Oryctolagus cuniculus: one gene and its partners. The main gene of each other region encodes a partner of the protein of the gene in region 4 in a complex. Links are inferred from orthologs where the notes say so. Each region holds a gene or a part of one and is shown on either strand. Other genes may lie near its edges. The genes, in order: RIPK2, TRADD, ARHGDIA and NGFR.

The links.
Region 1: the proteins of NGFR (region 4) and RIPK2 are in contact, whole or in part, in an NMR structure (PDB 2N83), measured with the Homo sapiens proteins. The link is inferred for Oryctolagus cuniculus from reciprocal best matches to the Homo sapiens genes NGFR and RIPK2. Residues at the interface, in NP_002498.1 of Homo sapiens: Gly334, Leu335, Ser338, Leu339, Pro340, Lys343, Val347, Ser354, Ala355, Asp357, Arg360, His361, Gly364, Glu365, Tyr368, Pro370, Ile373, Asp374, Leu398, Asp399, Leu401, Leu402, Arg406, Arg407, Ile408, Gln409, Arg410, Ala411, Asp412, Val414; in NP_003812.1 of Homo sapiens: Gln437, Ser465, Arg466, Asp467, Leu468, Met470, Glu472, Asp495, Ile496, Gln497, Gly498, Glu499, Glu500, Lys503, Ile523, Leu524, Val526, Ser527, Arg528, Ser529, Pro530, Ser531, Leu532, Asn533, Leu534, Gln536.
Region 2: the proteins of NGFR (region 4) and TRADD are in contact, whole or in part, in an NMR structure (PDB 7CSQ), measured with the Homo sapiens proteins. The link is inferred for Oryctolagus cuniculus from reciprocal best matches to the Homo sapiens genes NGFR and TRADD. Residues at the interface, in NP_002498.1 of Homo sapiens: Glu345, Glu346, Glu348, Lys349, Leu350, Asn352, Gly353, Ser354, Ala355, Glu379, Ala380, Cys381, Arg384, Glu420; in NP_001310481.1 of Homo sapiens: Thr201, Phe202, Asn211, Ala275, Glu276, Arg278, Arg279, Thr281, Gln283, Arg284, Glu287.
Region 3: the proteins of NGFR (region 4) and ARHGDIA are in contact, whole or in part, in an NMR structure (PDB 8X8T), measured with the Homo sapiens proteins. The link is inferred for Oryctolagus cuniculus from reciprocal best matches to the Homo sapiens genes NGFR and ARHGDIA. Residues at the interface, in NP_002498.1 of Homo sapiens: Arg274, Trp275, Ser277, Cys278, Lys279, Gln280, Lys282, Gln283, Gly284, Ala285, Ser287, Arg288, Pro289, Val290, Asn291, Gln292, Thr293, Pro294, Pro295, Pro296, Glu299, Lys300, Leu301, Ile307, Ser308, Val309, Gln312, Ser313, Asp316, Gln317; in NP_001172006.1 of Homo sapiens: Ala8, Glu9, Leu11, Ala12, Gln13, Ile14, Ala15, Ala16, Glu17, Asn18, Glu19, Glu20, Asp21, Glu22, Val25, Pro30, Ala31, Gln32, Lys33, Ile35, Gln36, Glu37, Ile38, Gln39, Glu40, Leu41, Asp42, Lys43, Asp44, Asp45.

What each region holds. Positions count from the first base shown.
Region 1 is NC_091437.1:115,014,919-115,018,475, forward strand, and holds part of RIPK2 (receptor-interacting serine/threonine-protein kinase 2), read left to right. Parts: intron 1-685; coding exon 686-843; intron 844-2,870; coding exon 2,871-2,920; intron 2,921-3,557.
Region 2 is NC_091449.1:50,463,278-50,467,275, forward strand, and holds the start of TRADD (tumor necrosis factor receptor type 1-associated DEATH domain protein), read right to left. Parts: upstream 2,838-3,998; 5' UTR 2,723-2,837; intron 2,560-2,722; exon of another isoform or gene 2,387-2,559; coding exon of another isoform or gene 2,235-2,386; intron 2,024-2,234; coding exon of another isoform or gene 1,954-2,023; intron 1,777-1,953; coding exon of another isoform or gene 1,711-1,776; intron 1,612-1,710; coding exon of another isoform or gene 1,506-1,611; intron 1,253-1,505; 5' UTR 1,153-1,252; intron 1,017-1,152; coding exon of another isoform or gene 789-1,016; intron 664-788; coding exon of another isoform or gene 513-663; intron 294-512; coding exon of another isoform or gene 191-293; intron 1-190. Other genes in the region: HSF4 (heat shock factor protein 4), read left to right, coding at 191-293, 539-663, 789-1,016, 1,506-1,611, 1,711-1,776, 1,954-2,023, 2,235-2,386. UniProt on the Homo sapiens protein: Adapter molecule for TNFRSF1A/TNFR1 that specifically associates with the cytoplasmic domain of activated TNFRSF1A/TNFR1 mediating its interaction with FADD.
Region 3 is NC_091448.1:1,032,158-1,036,364, reverse strand, and holds ARHGDIA (rho GDP-dissociation inhibitor 1), read right to left. Parts: upstream 2,850-4,207; 5' UTR 2,717-2,849; intron 2,377-2,716; exon of another isoform or gene 2,246-2,376; intron 2,045-2,245; 5' UTR 2,021-2,044; coding exon 1,831-2,020; intron 1,741-1,830; coding exon 1,657-1,740; intron 1,532-1,656; coding exon 1,455-1,531; intron 1,379-1,454; coding exon 1,315-1,378; intron 1,109-1,314; coding exon 909-1,108; 3' UTR 108-908; downstream 1-107. UniProt on the Homo sapiens protein: Controls Rho proteins homeostasis. Regulates the GDP/GTP exchange reaction of the Rho proteins by inhibiting the dissociation of GDP from them, and the subsequent binding of GTP to them.
Region 4 is NC_091448.1:25,541,889-25,545,445, forward strand, and holds part of NGFR (tumor necrosis factor receptor superfamily member 16), read left to right. Parts: intron 1-842; coding exon 843-1,202; intron 1,203-3,557. UniProt on the Homo sapiens protein: Low affinity receptor which can bind to NGF, BDNF, NTF3, and NTF4. Forms a heterodimeric receptor with SORCS2 that binds the precursor forms of NGF, BDNF and NTF3 with high affinity, and has much lower affinity for mature NGF and BDNF.

The DNA of each region.
Region 1 (3,557 bases), on a different chromosome or scaffold from region 4:
AAAGCACATGCTATCAAGCTATTTACCATAAAAATAAAGTGTTCAATGTATACACTTGCACCAAACTGAAGGGAAAAATCACTAGTCTTTTGACACTTGTAATATTCTGTTAAACCTCAAGTCAGTATGTATTCCTTCTGGAGTTCTTGAGTTCACTGCTGTGGAACTTAATTTTATTTTTAAAAAAACAGGTTAGAGTCCGGCACCGCAGCTCCATAGGCTAATCCTCTGCGGCATCGGCACACCGGGTTCTAGTCCTGGTCGGGGCGCCGGATTCTGTCCCAGTTGCCCCTCTGCCAGGCCAGCTCTCTGCTATGACCCAGGAGTGCAGTGGAGGATGGCCCAAGTGCTTGGGCCCTGTACCCACATGGGAGACCAGGAGAAGCACCTAGCTCCTGGCTTCTGATCAGTGCGATGCCGGCTGCGGCGGCCATTGAAGGGTGAACCAACGGCAAAGGAAGACCTTTGTCTCTGTCTCCCTCTCTCTCACTGTCCACTCTGCCTGTCAAAAAAAAAAAATTAAAAAAAAAAAAAACAGGTTAGAAAATATAGAAATAAAATATTTATATAACGTTTCCTTTGATCTAACACCTGAATGCAATGGATATACACAAAGACATTCAATTCATTGACTTTTTAAAGAGAAAAATTTTAAATTCAATTATTTACTATTTTTCCCATACAGATTGCAGATTTTGGTTTATCCAAATGGCGAATGATGTCCCTTTCACAGTCACGAAATAGTAAATCTGCACCAGAAGGAGGCACAATTATCTATATGCCACCTGAAAACTATGAACCTGGACAGAAATCAAGGGCCAGTGTCAAGCACGACATATATAGGTACAGTGTATTCCTTTGTTCAGAGTTAATTTAAAATACAAGATTAGTCAACCAGGATTTTGCAGCTCTCATAACTCTGCTGAAAAAATAACAGAGGCCACAGTGTTTAGTATTACTCAATTTAAAAATGCCTTGCTTAAGCAACTTTTATATTCTTTAAAAGATTTTAAAGTACATCTTTTTGTCCTATTTGTTGTATGTAACTTGGGAGAAATAGTTGTTCTTAACATTTTACTTTTAAGTTTCCCATCCTGTTCTACCATTTATTGTCTGATATCTAGACTTTTTTTTTTTTACAAAAATAAACAAATCCTTAAACCAACTGAGATTTTTGTTTTAAAAATCCCTAATGTTTGCATATGTCATATGTGTTTATTAAGATCATGTTTTCATGTTTAACATACAGATTACTTACAACCTTATAATAAGTATAAAACAGTAATGAGTATAATACATTATTCTTGATATTGGATATTTGACCAGAGGAAAGGAAGGTGATAATTTATAATTCACAGAATTAGGGAGTGGCACCAATCATTCATTTCATGTAAAACTGTACTTGTTTCTTTTAACATGCATAATTAATGTAAACCAGAATTAATAGCATATACTATGAACACATTTTATAACCTTTTAAAGTATTTTTGCTATATTTAATAAATAATCGATAAAAATTAAGGTGCATTTAACAATAAATGCTATTTCTCTACCAGAGAATTACATATTTAAATTGTGTATCCCTTGCTCCAAATGATTTAATTTTTATTACTTCTCATTAAATCCAGTACCAACTAACTAGTTTTAGTAGCTATGCTAAGGCACTTAGAGCAAGTGTCTTTTACATTCACATTACTGTATGAATAAAAGTTCTTTTGTATTTTCTATTCTCTGATATCTTTAGTTCATTTTGAATGATGTACTGTGACGATATAGGAGGGTAATTTATATCTTCTAAGGTAAAAATCATACTGTAACCAATAATTTTTGAAAGCGGGGTTGATTCTATAAACAAAGATCTATTTAAATCTGCTTATCATTGATTTTGTGAAGTATGCCTTTATACTCTACTCCTGTATTCCACAGCAGGGAAAATGAGGAAATATTACTCCTTGATTTGGTTGAGAATTCCCTGTGTAACCCTTACTCTCCCTCTAGGATTATGTGTTGGTTGGTAACTAGTCAATTCCAAGTGTCCCTATTGAATGCATTGTTAATTTGGGGATGCAGAAAAATTTCTATATCCTATTTAATCATTTATCCCAAATACAAACTTTGTGTGACTAAACCAGGTGATTTAAAACTGATGTTAATTGTAGGCAGAATGTTACTACCTTGAAGGCAGAGAGTACTCAAACCAGGAAAAAAAGTCATTAGAATGGGACCACATGAGACAGTGTTTTTATTGCTCTTTATTTTGTGCGAAAAATAGGATCACATAATTAAAGAGCATAGCTTATCTGAGTATTCAAGAATGAGTTACCCTTCTAAGGATATCCTTGCATGTAACTTCACAGTTTTATTACCGTGATTTTCTAAAAAAAATGTTTTTGAAAGACAGTGATCCCATTCACTAGCTCCATCTCCAGATGCCTGCATTAGCCAGGACGTGACCAGGCCAAGGCCAGGAGCTGGGAAATCAATCCAGGTTTCACACATGGGTGAGAGGAACTCTATCTATCAGATCCATTGCCACTGTGCCTAGGGTCTACATTGGCAGGAAGCTGAAGATAGAAACCAGACCTGGGTACCAGTACCTCAACCGTGATTTTAACTCTGAGGCCAGATGCCCTCCCCTAATTTTTCAAATTAATATTAATTTCCTTTCCAAACAAAACTGTCTTGACCATTCATCATCTTGGTTTTATGTGGTAATTCTTTAAGCAGCATTTGACTACCTTGTCATTTTCAAAAATGGTATCTTGACAGTTAGCTTTTAAAATTAGTTACTATTTTAGGTTATTATGCAGAGTTCATATATAATGTATAAAATTCATAATGTATGTAATTTTTGTTTTTATCTTAAACAGCTATGCAATTATCACATGGGAGGTGTTATCCAGAAAACAGCCTTTTGAAGGTAAGAATACTTTGACTTCCTTATTTTTAATAACAACATTTTGGCAGGCTGCACTCAGAACTATCCAACATTCATCTTATTTTAAATGTATCTGTCATTCATTTGTGCAAACTAACAGCATGAAAACAAACATTTTTCAATTACGAATCTATCATTTACAGCAAAGTGTACCAGATTAAGGGTCAGGAAGAATCTAGAATCTTTTTTTATTTTTTTAAAGATTCATTTATTTACTTGAAAGTTGGGAATAACAGAGTGGGAGAGGCAGACAGAGAAAGGTCTTCCATTTGCTGGTTTTACCTCCTGGCTGGGCCAGGCCAGAGCCAGGATCTTCATTTAGGTCTCTCACATTAGTGGCAGGGCCCCAAACACTTGAGCCATCTTTCACTATTTTTCCCAGGCCATTAGCAGGGAACTGGATCCGAAGTAGAGCAGCTGGGACTCAAACCAGCACCCACATTGGATGTGAGCATTGCAGGTAGCAGCTTTATCCACTATATCACCATGCCAGTCCCAAAAATATAGTTTCCTTATTCTTGCTCTGACAGTAATTAAGTCTATGATAAAGTCACTGAATTTCTAGAATCCTCATTTTCCTCATCGACAAAACAAGTATTGAATTACTATTTGCAAGATC
Region 2 (3,998 bases), on a different chromosome or scaffold from region 4:
ACCCCCAAAGGGCCCCCATCTCTGGGGGGGAGCCCCTTCCACCTCCAGCATGTGACTGATGCCCTGGCAACAGGCCTCAGCTCTGCTGACTTGGCTGCTGGGGCCTGAGGGAGGGAGGGAGGGAAGTGCAGGCTGAGGCACAGGGGAGCTGACCTGCCCACCCCTGCCTGTGCCCGGTCACCCTGCACAGGTCCCTGATGCTGGATGAGGGGAGCTCCTGCCCGACACCCGCCAAGTTCAACACCTGCCCCCTTGCTGGTGCCCTCCTGCAGGACCCCTACTTTATCCAGTCGGTAGGTTCTCTTCTCCCCTCCCCTAGGGCCCAGTGGGGTGGATGGAGAGCCTTTCCCTTCCCCCCACTCCCAAAAGAGAAGATGGAGGCCAGGCTTCACCCCCAACCTGACCTGGGCTCCCCAGCATGGCCTGAGCGGCCCTCCTCAAACATTTTCCCTTAGACATGGTCCAGGTGGGCTCTGGTTAGCCTCTGGCTCTCCCTGTGGCTGGAGGTCAAGGGCTGGGTCTATTCTTCTCCTTACAGCCCCTCCCAGAGACTACCCTGGGTCTCAGCACTCACAGGGCCAGGGGCCCCATCATCTCTGACATCCCAGAAGACTCCCCATCCCCTGAAGGGCCCAGGCTGTCTCCCCCCAGTGGTGGCACGAGGTAAGGGGCTCGGGGCTGCCCTGGGCTGGGGGGAGCTTGGAAGGGGAGGGCCTGGCAGCCCAGGTGGCTGTGAGGGTGGGGGAGAGGTCAGTGCCAGGGTCTGGTTGAAGCTTTTCTCCGTGCAGGGAGAAGGGCCTGGCACTGCTCAAAGAAGAGCCGGCCAGTCCAGGGGGGGATGGCGAGGCCGGGCTGGCCCTGGCCCCAAACGAGTGTGACTTCTGCGTGACAGCCCCCCCACCGCTGCCTGTGGCTGTGGTGCAGGCCATCCTGGAAGGGAAAGGGAGCTTCAGCCCAGAAGGGCCCAGGAATGCCCAACAGCCTGAACCAAGGGGTCCCAGGGAGGTTCCCGACAGGTGAGCAGAGCCCATTCTTGACTGGCGGCCACCTCTGCAGGTGGAGCAGCACTAGTCAGGCAGGCCCAGCTGCCCGGCTGGGTCTGGCCCTTCATGGCGGAGGGGGAGAGTGGGCAGTGGGATCTCAGATACTGACCTGATTCCACCCAGAGTGCTCCCTGGAGCACCAGCGTCAGGGTTCACAGCAGGAACTCCCAGGCAGGTCACTCAGCGTCTCTGTGGTAGGACCCAGAAATCTGCATGTAAACGAGTTCACTGAAATCACTGTAAAATACACGATAGTTTAAGAACCATTGGTACTGACACTGGTGTGGGGAGGAGATGCCTCCCAAGCCCCCAGCTCCACAGCCCAAACCTCAGGTCCCAGGTGGGAAGCCCTCTGGTGGGGGGAGGGGCAGCGTAGCATTTTCTAGATGTTGGGGAATTTCATTCCTTAGGAACCTAATAGGGGGTGGGCACTGCAGGGCAATAGCGATTCTCTGTGCACAGGGGGCCTCTGGGCCTGGAGAGGGGGGACAGGAGCCCAGAGAGTCTGCTGCCTCCAATGCTGCTCAGGGCCCCTCCTGAAGGTGTGGAGCCTGCAGGACCCCTGGATGTGAGTACCCCTTTGGCTGGGGCACGGGCAGGAGAACCCCCAGGGCCCAGCTGTCTGGGCAGTACGGGGAGGGCACCACTAACCTGGCGTGCTCCCCAGGTGCTGGGCCCCAGCCTCCAAGGCAGAGAATGGACCTTGATGGACTTAGACATGGAGCTGTCCCTGGTAAGATGAGGGAGGGGATGGTAGGGGTCTGGGGTTGTGGACTCTCACCCTTTGGTCCGTGCTTTTTTGTGGGCCAAAGCCATATTGGCAGAGGCCTGCCCGGGGCTGGGGGTCCCCAGCTCTCCCCCTCAGCCACTGGCTCCCTGCCCAGCTACTTCCTGGGGTTCTCTCTTGCAGATGCAGCCGTTGGTTCCAGAGAGGGGTGAGAGTGAGCTGGCAGTAAAGGGATTAAGTTCTCCAGGCCCAGGTAATGTGGTGACTCAGGACCTGAGGGAGGCCATGACTGAGCAAGTTACCATGATGGGGGGGGGGGGGTGTTCTGCAGGGAAGCCCCCCGGCTTGGTCCAGCCACCCCCTCACCATGGCAGGAGAGGAGGAGGTTAGGAATGTTTCATCCTCACTGAGTGGTGGGAAGGGCAACCTTTCCTGGCTGCTGAGCACAAACCCACTCTTCCTAGGGAAGGACCCTACGCTGGGGGCCCCGCTCCTGCTGGATGTCCAGGCGGCCTTGGGAGGCCCAGCTCTCGGCTTGCCTGGGGCTTTAACCATTTACAGCACCCCTGAGAGCAGGGCCTCCTACCTGGGCCCCGGGGCCAGTCCTTCCCCTTGAAACCTGCAAGCAAATGAAGCCGGGCTGGCTGAGGGACCAGTCCACAGCGGCACACCCCCTCTCGGCTTCCTGGCGCCCCCTGGCGGGGGGTGAGTGAACCCCCTCTCCTTGACTCCGCGGCCTCTCTCCAGCACCCTGATGAGCCCTGCACATAAATTGCATTTTTTTCTGTGTTTCTGCTCTCTTTTCTCCGTCGACCAGGGAGGGAGCACAGGTGTCCTGGTGATGGAAGGGGAACTTTGCATTCGTAAAAGCGTCCAGGTGCTAGGGCTTTAATGGAAGAATCTCCAGAGAGTCATGGTACTTGGGAAGCGGGGAGGGGGCCAACCCTCTTACTTAGGCCGGGATCCAGGGCTCACGCGTGGCCCCTGCAACCTCTGGGACGCACCCTGCCCAGCGATGCAGCGCTCTGTGACCACGAGTCGGTCGGTCCCCTTCTCTGAGCCTCGTCTGGGACAAGCAGAGAGGAGGGAGGTCGATGAGAGGAGAGCTGTGAAGCGCACTGACAACTGGCAGGCCCAGCGTGGGCGCTGGCTACGTGGGGTGCGGGCCCAACTGCCTCCTCCCCAGCTCATCTCCCGGGGAGCCCCGCGGGCAAGCGGAGCCCGGCTCCAGGTGCTGGGCAAGGACGCCCCCGCCCCCCGCCATTCCCGGCAGCCCCGGCCGTCCCGCCCCCGTCGCAGCTGTTGCTCCCACCCCCACCCCGCCCGGCCCTTTCTGCACCGTCATCTCCCGCCCCGCCGAGGCCCGACCCGTGAGCGGGGCCGCCCGTAGCGGACCCGACTCGGAGCCCCGCTCCTCCCGGCTGGGGGCGGGAAGGGAAACAGATTGGGCGGAACCAGCCTCACCACCCGCAGCCGCCACGAAGGTGGTCTGTGAGCCCCGCCCCGCCCCGCCGCAGGACTCGGCGGCTCCGGCGCTGGGCGCTGGGCGCTGGGGAGGTAAGGGCAGCTGGGCGGTCGCACATGCGCAAAGGCGCCCGCTGTTTCCCACGACCTCCGGCTGCCTAGCAGAAGAGCCGGAGGGTGCAGCAGGTGGGGATGGGGAGTGGGGGGAGGGCGGGAGCCAGCTTCACGTCTCGCCGCCTGGTGCCTTGGGAAGCATCTGGCCTCTGACCCCTGCCTTAACTTCGGGGTTCACCTTAGAGCTGTGAGCGCTGCTGGCTCTCCGCTCCGCACGCCTTGCACGCACAGGGCTGGTCTCGGGGAAATGAGGTTAACATGAAGCAAGTTAGAGAGGAGGGAGACAGGAGGACTGGGCGACGCAATCTGCGCACCCCTCCGTGTTACCCAGAATAAGTGCCGCTCCGCTCTCCCTCCCGGTGCCCGCCGTTGGCCGACCGTCCGAAAGCCGCGTTTTCGCAGCGCAGGGATGTTAGTTAAGGTCAGGAGTGCGGGTATGCCTTGCTCACTGGGATACCCGGAAGAAGGAACTACCTTGGGACACTCTGGCATTGGAGTGGACAAGGGAATATTTGAGTCTTGGGAGAAGTGGAGGGAGGGGAAGGGCACGCCAGGCTTGGGGAACAGCATCAGCAAAGGCTCAGAGGTGCCCGGGACATAGTGACACCACTCTGCCTGGCCGAATGGTGAAGGGAAATGAGGAAGGACCT
Region 3 (4,207 bases), about 25 Mb from region 4:
CTGGACCCCATCGTGTAGGGCCCCTGGGCAGACTTCTGCCCCAAGTGTCCCATGGTTTCCCGCGCCGTGGTCACCGCCCACCCCAAAGAGGGCCGAGCAGACGCGGGTCCTCGGGGCAGTTTATTTCCCAATTGGGGGAGGAGAAGCGGGGGCTCCTGCGGCTGTGGAGGCCGAGCCCGGCAGACGCCACACGGAGACTGGGGGGAGGCACGGGGACGGCCCCCAGCGGTGTGCACTTGGTCCCAGGTTTGTCCTGCAGGGTCCGGGAGGGCCCAGGACGGCACGAACAGAGGCAATAAATACTGCGGCCCGGAGAGCAGGAAGGCTCGGCCGCACCGTCTGCCGGGGGCTCTGCGGGGGAGGGGTCAGTGCTGGCCGCTGGGACAGGGCAGGCGGAGGTGTGGGACGCCTGCCCCCCCCCCACGGGACAGAAGTGCCTGGCGTTTGGCAACGTGGCCCGCCCCAGCGGCCGGGGGACAGGGGTCGGCTGGCCAGGCCAGGGGGCTGGGGGGCAGGGAGGCGGCACTGGCGCCCCTCCCCTGTCGCGGGGGCGGTGGGCGGGGCAGACACGGGGAGTGAATGGCAGCTCCCGGGACGCATTCCACACGTTAAGGCATCATGGTTAGACGGTACTGAGCGACAGATGAACTGGCCGGGGAGTGGATGGGGCTGCCTCACGCACCCCAGCTCCCGCGCGGCCGCCCCGCTCCCTCCTAAGGGCCAGGGCCGCGGGCGTGGCGGTGGGGGGGGACCTGGGGAACACAGCGGGCAGGGAGACTCGGGCCGGGCCTCCCCCGGCAGCACAGGCAGAAGCAGCAACGGCAGACCACCGCGGGCGGGGCCTGTGGGCGCAGGAGGGCCAAGGGGGGAGGGCCGCGGGGGCCCTGTCAGCACTTCGGTGGGGGGGCTCAGTCCTTCCACTCCTTCTTGATGGTGAGGTTCCACTCCCAGGACAGGTGGTCCGTCTTGTCGTCGTCCGTGAAGCGGGACCTGATGTTGTAGCTGCCGCGCGCCAGCATGCCCTTGGGCGCCTCCTCCATGGGCGTCAGGAACTCGTACTCCTCGGCCCGCGGCCCGTAGCTGCCCACCATGTAGTCGGTCTTGTCGACTGCGGGGCGCGGGGCGCGGTCAGCGGCGCGGGGCGTGGCCTCGGCGCCCCGCCCTTCCCGAGGGCGTGACCAGACTGGGCGTGGCCTCAGGCGTCCCTCCAGACCCTTTCCCACGGGGCGTGGCCACTCCTGCCCCCTCCCCAGGTCTGCCCCCATTCGCTCCCGGGGGCGTGGCCAGACGCGGGGCGTGGCCACGCGCACTCACTCTTGACGCCTTTCCTGTAGGTGTGCTGGATGTACTTCATGCCGGACACGATCTCTCGGTTCACCTGCGGGCGCCACAGCGGGGGTCAGCGGGGTCAGCGGGGTCAGCGGGCCCACGCCCCCGCGGCGCGCCCGGCCTACCCGGAAGGAGATCTTTATCCGGTACTCCACGCCCTCCTTCAGCACGAACGACTGCTTCTTGAAGCTCTCCAGGTCTCCTGTGCGGGGAGCACACGAGCGCACTTCCGCCAGGGCCCGCCAGGGGGCAGCCCCGCACCACATCACTTAGCGGAAGCAACAGGGTGGCAGCCAGCCCCACCCAGGGCCGCGGGCGCCCACTCACCGGTCAGGTCCAGCTCCAGGGGGCCCGGGGCCGTGCTGCACACCAGGGTCAGGCGGGTCACGACGACGTTCGGCACGCTGGGGTCTGGGGAGAGCCGGCCGGTGAGACCCCCGCCCGCCGCGGCCGCCGGGGCAGGCGAGGGCGGACAGGTGCCCCGCGGCCACACCCACTCACCCGCGGACACGGCCACGCGGCCCAGCAGGGCCTCCTTGTACTTGCGCAGGCTCTCGTCGTCCTTGTCCAGCTCCTGGATCTCCTGGATGCTCTTCTGCGCCGGCGGCTTGTAGTTGACCGAGTGCTCGTCCTCCTCGTTCTCCGCCGCGATCTGCGCCAGCTGCTCGGCCGTGGGCTCCTGCTCAGCCATGCTCGCCGCTCGCTGCCTGCACACCTGTGGGCGCGCAGGGCTGTGGCCGCCGGCAGCCGCCTCCCCCACCACGGCCCTCCCGCGTCCCGCGGCCGCCCTCGCCCGCAAGGCCTCTCCTGGCGCCCGCGCGTCGGGGCACGAGGGCCACCCCACGCCGAGGGGCTCGGACCCGAGATCCGGGAGGGGCTGCAGCGCCCTGCGCGCCCCGGAACCCTGAGCACCCACCGGCTCGCTCCGGGCGGGGCTGGAGGCGGTCAGAGCGCAGCGCACGCACAACGCCCCGCGCACAAACCGGGCCGGCAGCGGCGGCCGCGGGCTACAGCCAGGGCGGGGCCCGCACTTCCGCAGGGCCCGCAATCCGGGCGACGGGCGGGGCGGGGCCGGGGCGGCAGCGCCCGCGGCCCCCGGGAGGGGGCTTCGGGCCCGGCCCCCTGCACGCAGGGCCGCCGGAGCGCGCGCGGGGCCCGGGCGGCCCCCCGCCCACGCCCGCGGCCCCTCCGCACGTGGGGCCGCCGCCCCGCCCGGGCCCGCCCCGCGCCGGCCGCCGCTGTCAGCCCCCGCCCCGCCGAGACCCGCCGCGGGCGCAGGGCGGGGCGGGCGGGACAAAGGCGGCTCCTCCCCCGCGCCGCGGCCGCCGCCGGCGCGCCCGACCCGCTGCCCACCCGCGCGGCGCTCGGCCCCGCAGGGGCCACTCACCGGAGGGCTCGACCGCGTAGCTCTCGCGCTCCCTCCCGCAGCAGATGACGAACGTCGTCCGCCGCCCCGCCCGTCCGTCCGCCCGCCCGCCTGTCACTTCCGGGGTCAACGCGACTTCCGCTCTCGGCGGGCGGGCCGGCGGGGCTGCGCATGCGCGGCGGGAGCGCTGCGGCCAGGGCGCGTGCGCTGCGGGCGCCATCTTGCGGGCCGGGCCTCGTGGGCGCTTCCCGCTGGGCGGCGTGGTCCTCGAGGTGGGCGCCCGAGGGACCAGGACGCCTCCCGCGCCAGCCACTGCGAGGCCCCGCGGTCGGCCCTGTGGGTCGCCAGGCGGGGGGACACAGCTGCCCACTGCAGCGGCAGAGCGGGGGGGGGCGTCGTCAGGACCCCCGGGGTGGACTAGAGCCTGAAGCTTGTCCTTTTCTTTCTTTAATATTTATTTATTTGAAAGGCCGAGTTAGAGAGGTCAGATCTTGCCCCCGCCGGTTCACTCCCCAGGTGCACGGTCCAGGCCTCCCGCGCGGGAGACGCGAGGGGCTTGGCCCGCCCCGCCGACAGCTGCTGCAGGCGTCGGCGAGCCCCTCGGCGCCCTGGCTGGGGCTGGCACGGGACCCCCCAGTGCAGCCCCCGGAGCTGTCGGGGCCTCGACCGCGGCCCCCATCTGCTGCTCCTCGGCCGGAATCCGGTTCGGGGCAGCGCTGACCGGCACCGTGGCTCGAGCACCACTCGGGACGGTCCTGGTTGCTCCCTTCCCATCCAGCTTCCTGTTAATGGGCTGGGGGAGATCAGGCGACAGCCCAAGACCTGGGGTCCCTGGCACCCGTGGCGGAGACCTGGGTGGAGTCCGGCGCGTGGCCCTCGCTGGTTGGCTGCTCCCGCCTCCCCTGGAGGTCTCGGGGTTCCCTCAGCTCTGCCGTCCCTGCAGGGTTGGGCGGACCTGGCAGACGGGGCTCCATGGACGTGAGCGCCGGACAGAGGGGTCCCTGGACAGAGGGGTCCCTGGAGCAGGCCGGCAGGGCGACGCCCCGACACTGAATGGGCCTGAGCATCTCCAGCCACTGCCACTGCCCCCGGCCGCACTGCCCCCCCCCCCCCAGGCCGCACTGCCTCCCCTGCTCCCCCCCACACCCAGGGGCGGGTCTGGCTCTGGCTGGTTCGAGTCCCGGCTGCTCCTCTTCCGATCCAGCTCTCTCTGTGGCCTGGGAAAGCAGTGGAAGATGCCCAAGTGCTGGGCCCCTGCACCCGCATGGGAGACCCGGAAGAAGCTCCTGGCTCCCGGCTTTGGATCAGCGCAGCTCCAGCTGTTGGGGCCAACTGGGGAGTGAACCAGCGGATGGTCAAGACCTCTCTCTCTACCTCTCCTCTAACTCTGATTTTCAAAAAAAAAAAAAAAAAAAAAAAAAAAAAAATGGAGTTATCCTGGTTCAAATAAAAACATTGAATGCAACAGGGCCTGCCGTGTATACTCTGTTGCAAGGCCGAGGTGTGCGGCTT
Region 4 (3,557 bases):
CTTGTCTCTTGATGCTTTTAGTTAAGGGAGAGACCTGACCCCATGGCTGCCTCAGTTTCCCTCGGCTGGGCTCCTCCCTCCCACCCCCTCCATGCTCCAGACAGCCCCGCCTTCCCTGGTCCTCAGGTTTCTAAATCCAAGCTCTGCCAGCCCTGGGAGCAAGGGTGGGACCGTGTTCCCCACCCTGGGCTGCAGAGGGGAGGAAGGCCTGGCCCCGCCCCCGGCTCCCTCGCACCCCGGCATCTCCACTCTCTCCGCTGATTCCCGAGCTCACCTCCCTTCATTAAGAGCGTGAGTCAAGAGGAAGTTTGCAAATCTCCCCTTTGTGCCACTCGCTGACTGCACGCAAGTCCTGGCTTTCCAGCCTCAGCCCTCCTGCTGTACCTGAACTCTCCTGGCCTGGACTCCGGTCCCCACCCTCCCAGGCCGAGCCCTGGAGCAGGGTGGGGAGGCACCCTGGGTGGGAGCCTGAGTGACTCCCAGGCGGAGGCTCCCTAGGGGCAGGCTGGCCTGCCCGGGCTGGGTTCACAGCCCTGCTCAGGCCCCCGGAAGGGCTGGGTAGGCTGGGTGGGGACTGGGCTCAGTTCTCTCCCTAATCACCCAGGCAGCAAGAGAATTCTCAAAAAGAACTTGCCAAGAGATTTGGCGGCACCAGCTGGGCTACCCCCGGGAGCCTGGGGGCCTGTGCTTCTTGGGAATTGGACAATGGGGCCCTTAGCTACCTTCCCAGGGCAGCTGGCACCAGGGATCCCAGAGCCGCGGGGGCGGGAGAGATCACAGGTGCACCCTGTACTCGAGTGCTCAAGGTGCAGGCCACTGCCCGGCTGTCCCTGTGCCCGCAGGCGTGACGTTCTCCGACGTGGTGAGCGCCACCGAGCCGTGCAAGCCTTGCACCGAGTGCGTGGGCCTGCAGAGCATGTCGGCGCCCTGCGTGGAGGCGGACGACGCCGTGTGCCGCTGTGCCTACGGCTACTACCAGGATGAGACGACTGGACGCTGCGAGGCGTGCCGCGTGTGCGAGGCGGGCTCGGGCCTGGTGTTCTCGTGCCAGGACAAGCAGAACACGGTGTGTGAGGAGTGCCCCGACGGCACCTACTCTGACGAGGCCAACCACGTGGACCCGTGCCTGCCGTGCACCGTGTGCGAGGACACCGAGCGCCAGCTGCGCGAGTGCTCACGCTGGGCCGATGCTGAGTGCGAGGGTGAGAGCAGTGGCGGGGTCGGGGGTGGGGGCGATAGCGGTTGGCCCGGGTGCCCTCTGGGCAGCGAGGTGGGGAGGAGTGGAAGGGGCACTGACCAGAAGGCCCTGTCCTAGCCCGGAAACCCCAGGGAGGGCAATGTTCCCAAGCCCATCCCACCGAAGGACCCCTCCTCTCACTGTTGGCGTCCTGGGGCTCCCCATCGGGGAAAAGCCAACTGTATCACCGACTCGGAGTGCAGCTACTGCGTCCCAGCTCGCTCCCCGGGACTTCACTCACCCATGGCTGCCAGCTGGAGATTGGACGGGTCGCCGGTGGTGGCCGGAAGATGGCCACAGGGCACAGAGTGGGACATGCAAGACCCTTGTGGTGGGCTTCGTGAGCTGGAAAAGGGCTGGAGGACTCAGGGGCAGGGACCCTTTGGCTCTGAGACCTCATCTAGGTCCCTGGTGGCTCTGCTGCCTGGGATGGGCTCCACCCTGTCGCTGCTGAGTGATGTTAGGGGGGTCACCTCTGTCTCTGGATCTGTCCCCAGGGTGGTTGTGTCATGTGGTTCCCATGGTTCCTGGGGTAGGGAACACACAGTGCGGCTGGCAACAGGAGGGCGCGCAGCTTCCAGAGTGGATGAGAGTGCTTAGCCAGGCACAGGGGTCCGGGAGATAGGGTGGCTCCCGGATGAGAGGAACAGACGCGGTGGGAGCTGGGGCATAGCTGTTTTGGGCTCTGCTGGATGATGTCCATCTTGGGCGAGGCGGATGGGCTTCTCGCCTGCAGGGGAGATGACTTTATGTTCTGTCCATCACCCATTGGCCAAGGCCTCCATTGAGCCATTTCTCTGAGCGGGGAGCACAGCGCCCCCTTCAGGACAGAGACCGTCTTGGCTCCAGTCTGATGAGGGAGACTTGGCCCCAGCACTTATCCCAGCCCTGGGAACTTGGGAGACCTCCCACTCCGATGGAAGCAGCACAGCCTCTGCCTTCCATCAGCCCCCTCCTTCCACACATCCCCGGACCCTGGAGGGCCCCCCAGTTGGAAAGAGGCCCCCACACACCCATCCCTGCCTTCCAAGTCCTGTAATCCTGGCCCTGGGTGCTCAGGTGCCGGGCGGGCTCTGAAGCGGGGCTGAGGCCAGGTGTGTGCTTGAAGCTTGCTGCATTAGAAAAGGGTGGAGGGGGGAAGGAGGGAAGAACGGGGAGGTGCTGGTGCCATTGCCTGGGGCCAGGGGGCAGGCAGCGGGCAGAGCCGGGAGGGAGCCAGCCAGCACACAAGGGGCAGTGCAGTTCATGGGGCAAGACTGGACTAGCCAGCGGGGGCCTTAGTCAGGGGCGTGGTTAGAGGCGAAGAGGGTGGCTGCGGGGGAGGGGGAGGCAGGCTCTGCCTTTGCGGGGGTTTACGGATGCCTCCCAGGTACCACCCCACTTTCCCAGCACCTCCCAAGGAGGAGTATGCCCCCGGAGGATGTGTTTGCTCCTGCCCCTACTCCCCTTTCAGCTCCAGCCTCCGAAGCTGGGGGGTGGAGGGAGTGGGGGCGAGGGACCACTTCAGGAAATGGAATCTGAGTCTTGGTTTGGTGCACCCCCAGCTTGCCTGCGTATACATTTCAGGTGTCAACAGGGTGACTCACCCACCTCCCCACCCCTCAGTGAGATTCAGGTTTAGGAGGGGTGACCCGGTCCCTCCTCCCAACGCAGGTCTAACAGCTCCTATTCCGGAAATGGCTGTCAGGGCTGGCCAAGGGCTTAGCGGGTTGGAATGTGAGTGGACGCGGCCACATCTGGGTCTCATCCTGGCCCACATCAGAAGGGGGAGGTGAGGTGAGGCTGCGCGCCTGGGCAGCGGCTCAGTCTTCAGTCTGACTTGTCCCCAGAGCCCTTTCTCGTTTTCCTTCGCCAGGGCTCTCTTCTGTAATGGCCGGATTCACCCCACCCACACTCCTTCAGTCTCTGGGCCAGAGCGGGTCTGAGCTGAGCTGTATCTTCAGCCTCCCGGCTCCAGCTGCCCCCAGCTTGCCCAGTCCCCTCTCAGGACCCCCAAAGACCCTCCCTAGTCTGAGGCTGCGGGAGACAGGGCTGTGTCTTCTCCACTTCCCACCTGACCCCCTCCCAGGACTGAGATGGCGGAGGGGAGGATGGGCAACAGATGGCAGCCCCCTCCCCACTGCCATACAGGTGGAGTCCAGATTCACATCTGGGGGCCTTTCCCCTTGGAAGGTGTGAAAACGGGGGCCTTTGAAGCATTTTCACCTTGAGCCCCGAAGACCGGTGGGCAGCTCGGACTCCCACTTGGGTGGGCAAGCTGAGGCCCGGGCGGGGCAGAGCTGGGGAGCCCGGTGCCCTCGCTGTCACCTCGTTGGCATGT